Linked DNA regions of Coturnix japonica. The protein of the gene in region 1 purifies or fractionates together with the protein of each later gene. This does not show direct contact. Links are inferred from orthologs where the notes say so. Each region holds a gene or a part of one and is shown in the gene's direction. Other genes may lie near its edges.

Region 1 (3,824 bases):
ATTGATGTATTAACTTTAACCATAAATGCACATAGTAATTCTTACTAAGAACTCTGCTTTTCTCCACTGTTAGGCTGATTCAGAGCTAGCCTGGATTCCCCCATCTAAAGGAGGGAATGAAATGCTATTTTGCTCTTCTGATGTCTCTCACTATGAACTGCAGGTGGAAATAGGTAACACAACTGTGCCTTAAAAATATTTCTTGTTCTTGCAGACGCATTCTCTCTGTAGCTATTGCTAACTGCAGCAAATATTAAGTTTGGAAAATGTATTATCAGCTGACTAAAACTTAATCCTCTATTCTTGAGAAAAATACCGATCATCTTGTTTCAGTTAGTGCATGCTTTAAAATATAAGACAAATTAACAGTTATCTGAACTTTTCTTTTGATGTTTGTGCATTTGGACATAATTTGCCTAAAATCTGTGGCATGCGTACAATAAATACAACGTTAAGTAACATCATAACCTGTCATTTGGCTACTTGATTTGATTGTCTTAACAATGGCTACACTGAATCCCACTGTACAAGCCTTGAATCATAGAGTTGTTTGATTTGTGAGGGACATTTAAAGGTCACCCAGTCCATCTTCACTGCAATGATCAGGGACACCTATACCTATATTAGGTTGCTCAGAGCCCCATCCAGCCTGACCTCAAATGTCTCCAAGGACAGAGCATCCACCACCTCTGGGCAACCTGTGCCACTGCCTCATTGCCCCTGCTTTAAAAAATAAAATGAACAAACAAACAAACCCATTTCTTCCTTACATCCAATCAAAATCTCCCCTTTTAAGTTTGAAACCATTTCCCCTTTTCCTGTCACAATAGACCTGCTATAGAGTCTGTTCCCTTCTTTCCTTCCTGTAGCCCTCCTTTAGATATTGAAAGGCTGCTATCGAGTCTCCCTGGAGCCTTCTATTCTCCAGGCAGAACTGCAGCTCTCTTGGCCTGTCCTTGCAGAGGAGGTGTTCCATCTCTTGGATCATTTTTGTGGCCCTCCTCTGGACGCTTTCTAGCAGGTTCATGTCTCTCCTATTTACATTAGCAGCCCCTTGAGCACAAACATTAGAACAGATACATTACTGATGCTGATAAATGTTTAAATGTCCTTTGTTGCTCTAAAAATAGCAGAACAGAGTTCTAAGTAATTTGTGGATATATTACACCCCAGCTACTTAAGTTGTTGGTGTGCTTAAAGAAAAGACCATGCTGTTCTCCATTGCAATTTCAGAACCGCAAAGTTCTCTAACTATAAAGAAAGTTATATGGTGACTTACTACATTTTCCAATATTAAGGTATTGACTTTTGGTTTCAGGAAGGAGATTCAACAACTTAACTTCAATCTACCTTGCACGGCATACCCCTACAGGCACACAAGTTGCCGTAAGGATCACAGACCTAGAAAGCTGCTCAGAAGAGCATCTGAAAGCCTTACAGGTAAAGCAGCAGCATTTTCACTTTTGAACACATAAGGGTTTAGTAAAGTAGGGTAGCCTTCATGCTTTTACTGGGTGATTGAATTCAAATTTTCTCATCAAAGGAATAGAAGAAGCACATATAAATTTGAAAGATTGCTTTCTGAAGAAACTGTTGACAAGTGTTTTAGAAATACTCATGGAACTTAACAGCTCTTCCTCTGAAACACATTCTGTGCTCTGCATTTAACAGCATAACTTATGACTAAGAACAAACTAGAGTTCAGAAAAATGCAATGACTTACCAGCTATTTGGATATCTATTGCAGCTCTGCTCATCACATGCAATTAAGTATAAATACACCAAACACTTTTTTTCTACTGATTACTGACACAATTAATGCTCTTAGTAAGGCAGATGCTTTGTGATTAATACATCCATTTTCATTTAATTCCATAGAATGAGGTGGTTTTGTCCCACTTTTTCCAGCATCCCAACATAATGACGCTTTGGACAGTGTTTACAGCTGGTAGTTGGCTTTGGGTCATTTCTCCATTCATGGCCTATGGTAAGAACTGGTAACTGCAATTTTGGAATAAGGAAAAGGACTGATGACATTTGGGCTATGCGGTTGACAAGAGTTTTTTTTTCTTTAAGAATCTCCTGACTCATAGAGAAGGAGGTGGTGGGAGGGAAAAGAAAAAAAAACCCAACAGACACACTTCCACAAACAACTTGTTTAGATAAGTCTGTATATCATCTTCCTCCCCAGAAAAGATTGACATTTGATCTGCATTACATTTCACTTAGTCCTAATACCCACAAAGTACAGAGTAATAAGAGAGAGATGCATTTGATGTTACAGAATAGAAAACTTGTCGCTTTCAGTGCAGGTTTAGCATAGGCTTTCAGTTAGCAAGCATGACATGAGTGCAATCCTTGTGATTGATGGATGCTTCAGTTGCATCCATGTAAGTGTTCCTGATGCACCATGGTCAATATAAAGGTGAGAATACCTCTTCTGGCAAACATATACAATGAAGGAGGCATAGAAAGCAAGTTTAAGGTAGCTTGTTTGGCTTAGGATATTTTTTCCCCCTGCTCCCAGGTTCTGCTCGACACCTGCTGAAGACTTACTTTCCTGAAGGAATGAGTGAAGCTTTGATAGGAAACATTCTGTTTGGTGCAATCAGAGGATTAAATTACATGCACCAGAATGGCTACATTCACAGGTAAAACAATGTCAGTGCCATAGGCAAGAATCAAATTACATTATTAGGAATTAAGTTTCACTTCAAAACCCATATTTGGTTCAACACTTGTCTCCTTTCCTTTTTCTATATATTCCTTATGGCAGATGCAGACACAGTGCAGAAGCAGGGCTCTTTTTTGTTTTGTTTTGTTTGTTTTTGACTAATATAGCAGGATGTTAAATTCTTCATTACTTTACCCTCTTTGCAGGGATGGAAAAATCCTTCTTTGATGTCTGGCAGTCAGTTTTTCTTGCTAACCATCTCTCAGGGTGTATTAAATAGACAGCTCATGCTAAGTGAAGACCACCCATGAAAACAGCCTGCTAAACAGAACTGCGTGTAAACCCCTCAATATACATTAACAAAAGATTTTCATATTTCTACTTTAATAGTGCTTTGACTAATTTGTCTAACTAAAATTTACCACTTTTTGTTACAGGAATATTAAAGCTAGCCACATTCTGATTTCAGGGGATGGATTGGTTTCTCTCTCTGGCTTAAACAACCTCTACAGTTTAGTTAACAATGGACAAAAGTCAAAGGTGGTGTATGACTTCCCCCAGTTTAGTACATCTGTACTTCCTTGGCTGAGCCCTGAACTACTGAGACAGGTCAGTGTAAAATACACTTCATTCTTATTCCAAGTTAACAGGAAGTACTCGAGTTATACCTGTTTGTACAAGTGCAATAGAATCTGTTGAACTGCAGCTTAAAAACAAAACAACAAAAAAAAAAACAAAAACAACCATGAACTGAATTTGCATTTCCCCTAAAGAGAATAGGATTTAAAGCTGTGGTGATGCTTACAGCTCAGTCTCTGCCTCATTGTCTTCCTGAAAACTAGAGCAGATTCTGTCTTCAGTGCAACATCACATTTATGGAAAAAAGCCTGTTTCAATTTGTTAACTGCCTCAATCCTAGATGTGTAGATCACACAATTTTAGAATTGTGTCTTGACACTGGTATTTGTGTTTCTGTTGGCACCCATCAATGGCTTCAGTAGTCCAGTAAAGTTCTATTTCTCCCACAGGATTTGTCTGGGTATAATATGAAGTCCGATATCTACAGCGTAGGAATAACAGCATGTGAATTAGCCAATGGACATGTTCCATTTCAAGATATGCCTCGCACTCAGGTATGATGCTAAACTCC
Region 2 (3,824 bases), on another chromosome or scaffold:
TCTCTTTGGAAATGATGCAACCTATTTCTTTCTTCTTACTATTTTTTATTTATATATTAAAAAGCCACAGTATTTTATTGGTTACTTCAAAATAGCAACACATAAAGTCAAATGTGTCTCCATACAAACCTCTGTCTGACATTTGTCATCACATCACATAGAATAATTCAGTTCCCAGCTCCATAGAGAGAAACTACCCCATTTAGTTACAAGGAATTGCAATACAATTGGATTTTTCTGTTTTCCCTAAGGTCCCACAAGAACTGTGTGGCTGTCCAGGAAAGGAGCCAAAGCCCATGTATCGCACTCCACAGCCTTGACCATAAAGGCCATACCACTTAAGATTGCTTAAAGACACTATTGTTCATGACCAAGTTGTTCATGATGCAAGCAGAACAGTTTCAAGTCCTATTGTAGCATGACAGTCCCCAAATAATAACTTTCTTCCCTGTTCTTTTCCTCTTGCCCCTCCACCCCACCCATAACTGCCTCTGATTTGTGTTCAATTGTAATATGGTTGTATTTTATTTTCCCCCCTCTACCCATGCAAATGTTTACAGCAAACATAATACATTCAGGTTGTTAAGTAAGCAAGGAGACCTGGGAAAGTTGAGATACAGTGTTGAAATATGACAGCCTTTAATTGCCAAAGAAAGGAAATCATGAAACGTCATCTGGATTCTGCTGACCTCTAGATTCTTATCAGCTTCATGTTTACTCAGCTCAGTTTTTAGAGAAGGAAACATTCATTATCTGCTGGTGATGAAGAATGATAACAGTTTGTACAAGCTTGCTCTCATTAAAGAGAGCTATTCATTTTATTCTAAGGGGACTTAAGAAGATTGCAAGTAGTTTCCTGCTTTAGACTTTCTGCTACTTTGTTACACAAGGATATTATCTTTTCCCCTTGAGAAACAAGTCATTCACATTGCTTTCCAGGCTGGGCCTTGTCTGCTTTTTAAGGATGGGGTCTGGCAGACCGCCCAGCTATTGTTTTTCTTAGAATTAATGTCAACACACCTGTGCCCCAGACCTGCACTAGCTTCCCATCTAATACAAAGTCATCAGATATTGGTGTTCATATCCCAGAACTCTGTGATTTGGAATTTACTGTATTTGAAATGATTTTTCTATTAGAGAGATAGAAACTTTATTTCCTGCTGGCTCTTAAACTTGAGGGTTGAGTTTAGCGTTTGGTACTTCCTTTGCCTCTGTAAAGCTTGAAATTAGTCAAAGATGAAGGAAATACCATCTTTTTTTGGTCAAAACTCTGCTCTTCTTGAAGACATCTAACAGAGAAGGGACCGTTTACTCAGACTCTTGAACAGTATCATGTATTTGAATGTGAACAGAATGGTTAAAAAAACCACAAACACAGGCAAAAACTTCATGTTTTTTAATCTTGTAATTAGAAACTGTGACTTTAAGAATCTTGCTGGGCCTGGAAGACCTGTTTAAAATGATATTCGTGCCTGGAAGATTTCTTTCCAAGTAGAGCAGTGCACAAAACCATCTACTTAGCAAAGCTATGGAGTTTTCAGCTATCACCCCATGTGTGCCCATAGGAGAGATGACATCCCTTGTAGAATTGTATTCTTTGTTCTTGCTGGTTTTGAAACGGAGAGGGGGGAAAAAAATAAAGCAAACAAAAACGCCTTTTGCATGAGGGAGCCTGAATCCTTGTGCTGGGAAGACAATGCCAGCACAGTTGTACTCTCACCTCTTGCAGTCGTGACCACTGGCACAAGGGCCGGTGCCTGTTTGCCCTTGTTAGCCATGAAGTCACTTAGCAGTGTGTGCTGCTTAACAATAACTAGGCTTGGAATTACCGTGTACCGCTATCAGTTCACTTAGGTGAATAATACAGAAATGCTGTTTTTGCTGCTGAATCCAAAGGAAATAGTGAGATGTAGAGCAAAATTGACAATGTTAGTGAATGAGAGTTGATGTCTGTATTATGTGGAGGTTGAGTAAAACAGCCTGGAACACTGCTCTACTCATTTCAGAACAAAGAGTGCTGGTGTTGCTTTGGGCTGGCTTGCAACGGAATTGTAATTGAGAAAACAAGCATTTACAAACAAACTCTTATATCCTGAAAACAACAAACCCTCAAATGGCCCGTGGTAATTCACAAACATGCCATTTGGAAAACTGCAGCCCTCCTACGTTTGTTACAAATGTTTGGGGTTTTTTCCTTACACAGTCTTCCTTACATTGATTAGAAAACTGAACTAGCTCTGACTAACGGTTGCTAATTAATTATACCTTGAATTTTACTTGATAACTTGTTAATGTGACACATGGAATTTATGATACCGGGTAGATAGGGATTGTCAAGAAAAATGCTTTGTGTTTGGTCTTTGTGTGTATGGCATCCAGGAATCCTTCCTGTGGAGCTGCTTAACAGCATTACTTGCAAGTCCAGCTGTAGCACAGGTTTGCCTGGGTATATTTTGGGTTACAGCTAACAGGACATAGCCTCGAAGTTATCTTTTTGGCAGTTTCAGATTGCAAGTTAAGTGCACAGATCTGGCTTTTAAATGATGTATGTGAATGATGGAGAAAGTGCTCATGTTTATCATCAGCTTTTTGTCCATACCAGTTTGGCATCTTTACCTGGTGCTAATGTTGTGTGTATAATTTGTGCTGAATTCCAGCATCTGGTTCTCATTCATGCTGCTGTGTCTGTTGAAAAATGTGAGACTTGTATTTTAGGTCAGTGGGTCTCTTTGTAGTTCTTAACTAATGGTTTTTCCTCCAAAAGTGTCAGTTTTAAATAGAATGTTAACACCGCAGGCAGAAGTGCCTTAACGAACCATGGATGGTGGCATTGTGCCTTCCCAGAGAACGGAGTGGGTAATGGAATGTTGAGGACATTGGTATGAATGCATGAGGTGATACTGTGTAATTACTATTTGGATAGAGGCCTTGAATACTGTGCTGAACTATTTGTGTTTCTGACAGGGCAAAAAGGATGTCGCCCAAATCTTCAACAACATCCTCCGAAGGCAAATTGGTACAAGAACTCCCACAGTTGAATACATCTGCACTCAACAGAATATATTGTTCATGCTATTAAAAGGGTATGTATGCTGTCAGGCTTGAATATACTTTTTAATGAAATCAGAAGTTTTTAGTGTCATGGAGAAGCACTGAGTTCTGAAATGTTTTTTTCTTCCCTTGTGGTGTGCTTGATTCTGTTGTTCTTGTCTAAGGGCTACTTCCCCTAAGGAAAGGAAAATCTGAGTAATAAACACCAGATATGTACTTCTGCATGATATATGGCTGAAAACTGAGAACTGATAGTAACTTAAATTATTCTTAGTGGGGTATTGCAAACATTCTCCTTTTGGTGTATTATATCATCCTATTGAAGTTATTTCCTTCCGAACTTACTCATTTCTCAAATATTAAGTGGTGGGTTTGTTTGGGGTTTTTTTTGTTTGTTTGTTTTATCTTTTAACCAGTGTCCCTTCCAGTTCCCCGTCCTATTCCCTGCTTTTTGCTTGCCTTACGCGTGTTATTTGTAGTGATTCATACTCCTGCGGTCACAGGACCAAACAAAGGATGACTCAGGGTACACAGTGAGTGCCAGGCTACTCTTTCTTCCTCTCTTCTTGTATTTTTTCTGGTGCTGGGTATTGGAGAGCAGCGCCACACTGAAGACATGTTTGCACACCACAAGTTTTGGATCTCAAATGTGAAAGCAGAAATGTATTTTCAGAGCTTTCTTGTTAAAATAAGATTTTCTTATGAATTGACAACATGCTCTCTCCATATAAAAAATAATTGCCCACATTTCTATTAGCATTAATAAGCAAAGT

Evidence for each region.
Region 2: the proteins of STRADB (region 1) and CAB39 purify together in Homo sapiens (affinity purification with mass spectrometry; 3 studies listed by BioGRID and IntAct, counting the BioPlex papers as one, with this or other methods). This does not show direct contact. The link is inferred for Coturnix japonica from reciprocal best matches to the Homo sapiens genes STRADB and CAB39.

The regions. Positions count from the first base shown.
Region 1 is NC_029522.1:9,978,195-9,982,018, forward strand, and holds part of STRADB (STE20-related kinase adapter protein beta), read left to right. Parts: intron 1-73; coding exon 74-173; intron 174-1,318; coding exon 1,319-1,440; intron 1,441-1,878; coding exon 1,879-1,987; intron 1,988-2,527; coding exon 2,528-2,651; intron 2,652-3,111; coding exon 3,112-3,283; intron 3,284-3,702; coding exon 3,703-3,807; intron 3,808-3,824. UniProt on the Homo sapiens protein: Pseudokinase which, in complex with CAB39/MO25 (CAB39/MO25alpha or CAB39L/MO25beta), binds to and activates STK11/LKB1.
Region 2 is NC_029524.1:4,189,939-4,193,762, reverse strand, and holds part of CAB39 (calcium-binding protein 39), read left to right. Parts: intron 1-2,964; coding exon 2,965-3,083; intron 3,084-3,824. UniProt on the Homo sapiens protein: Component of a complex that binds and activates STK11/LKB1. In the complex, required to stabilize the interaction between CAB39/MO25 (CAB39/MO25alpha or CAB39L/MO25beta) and STK11/LKB1.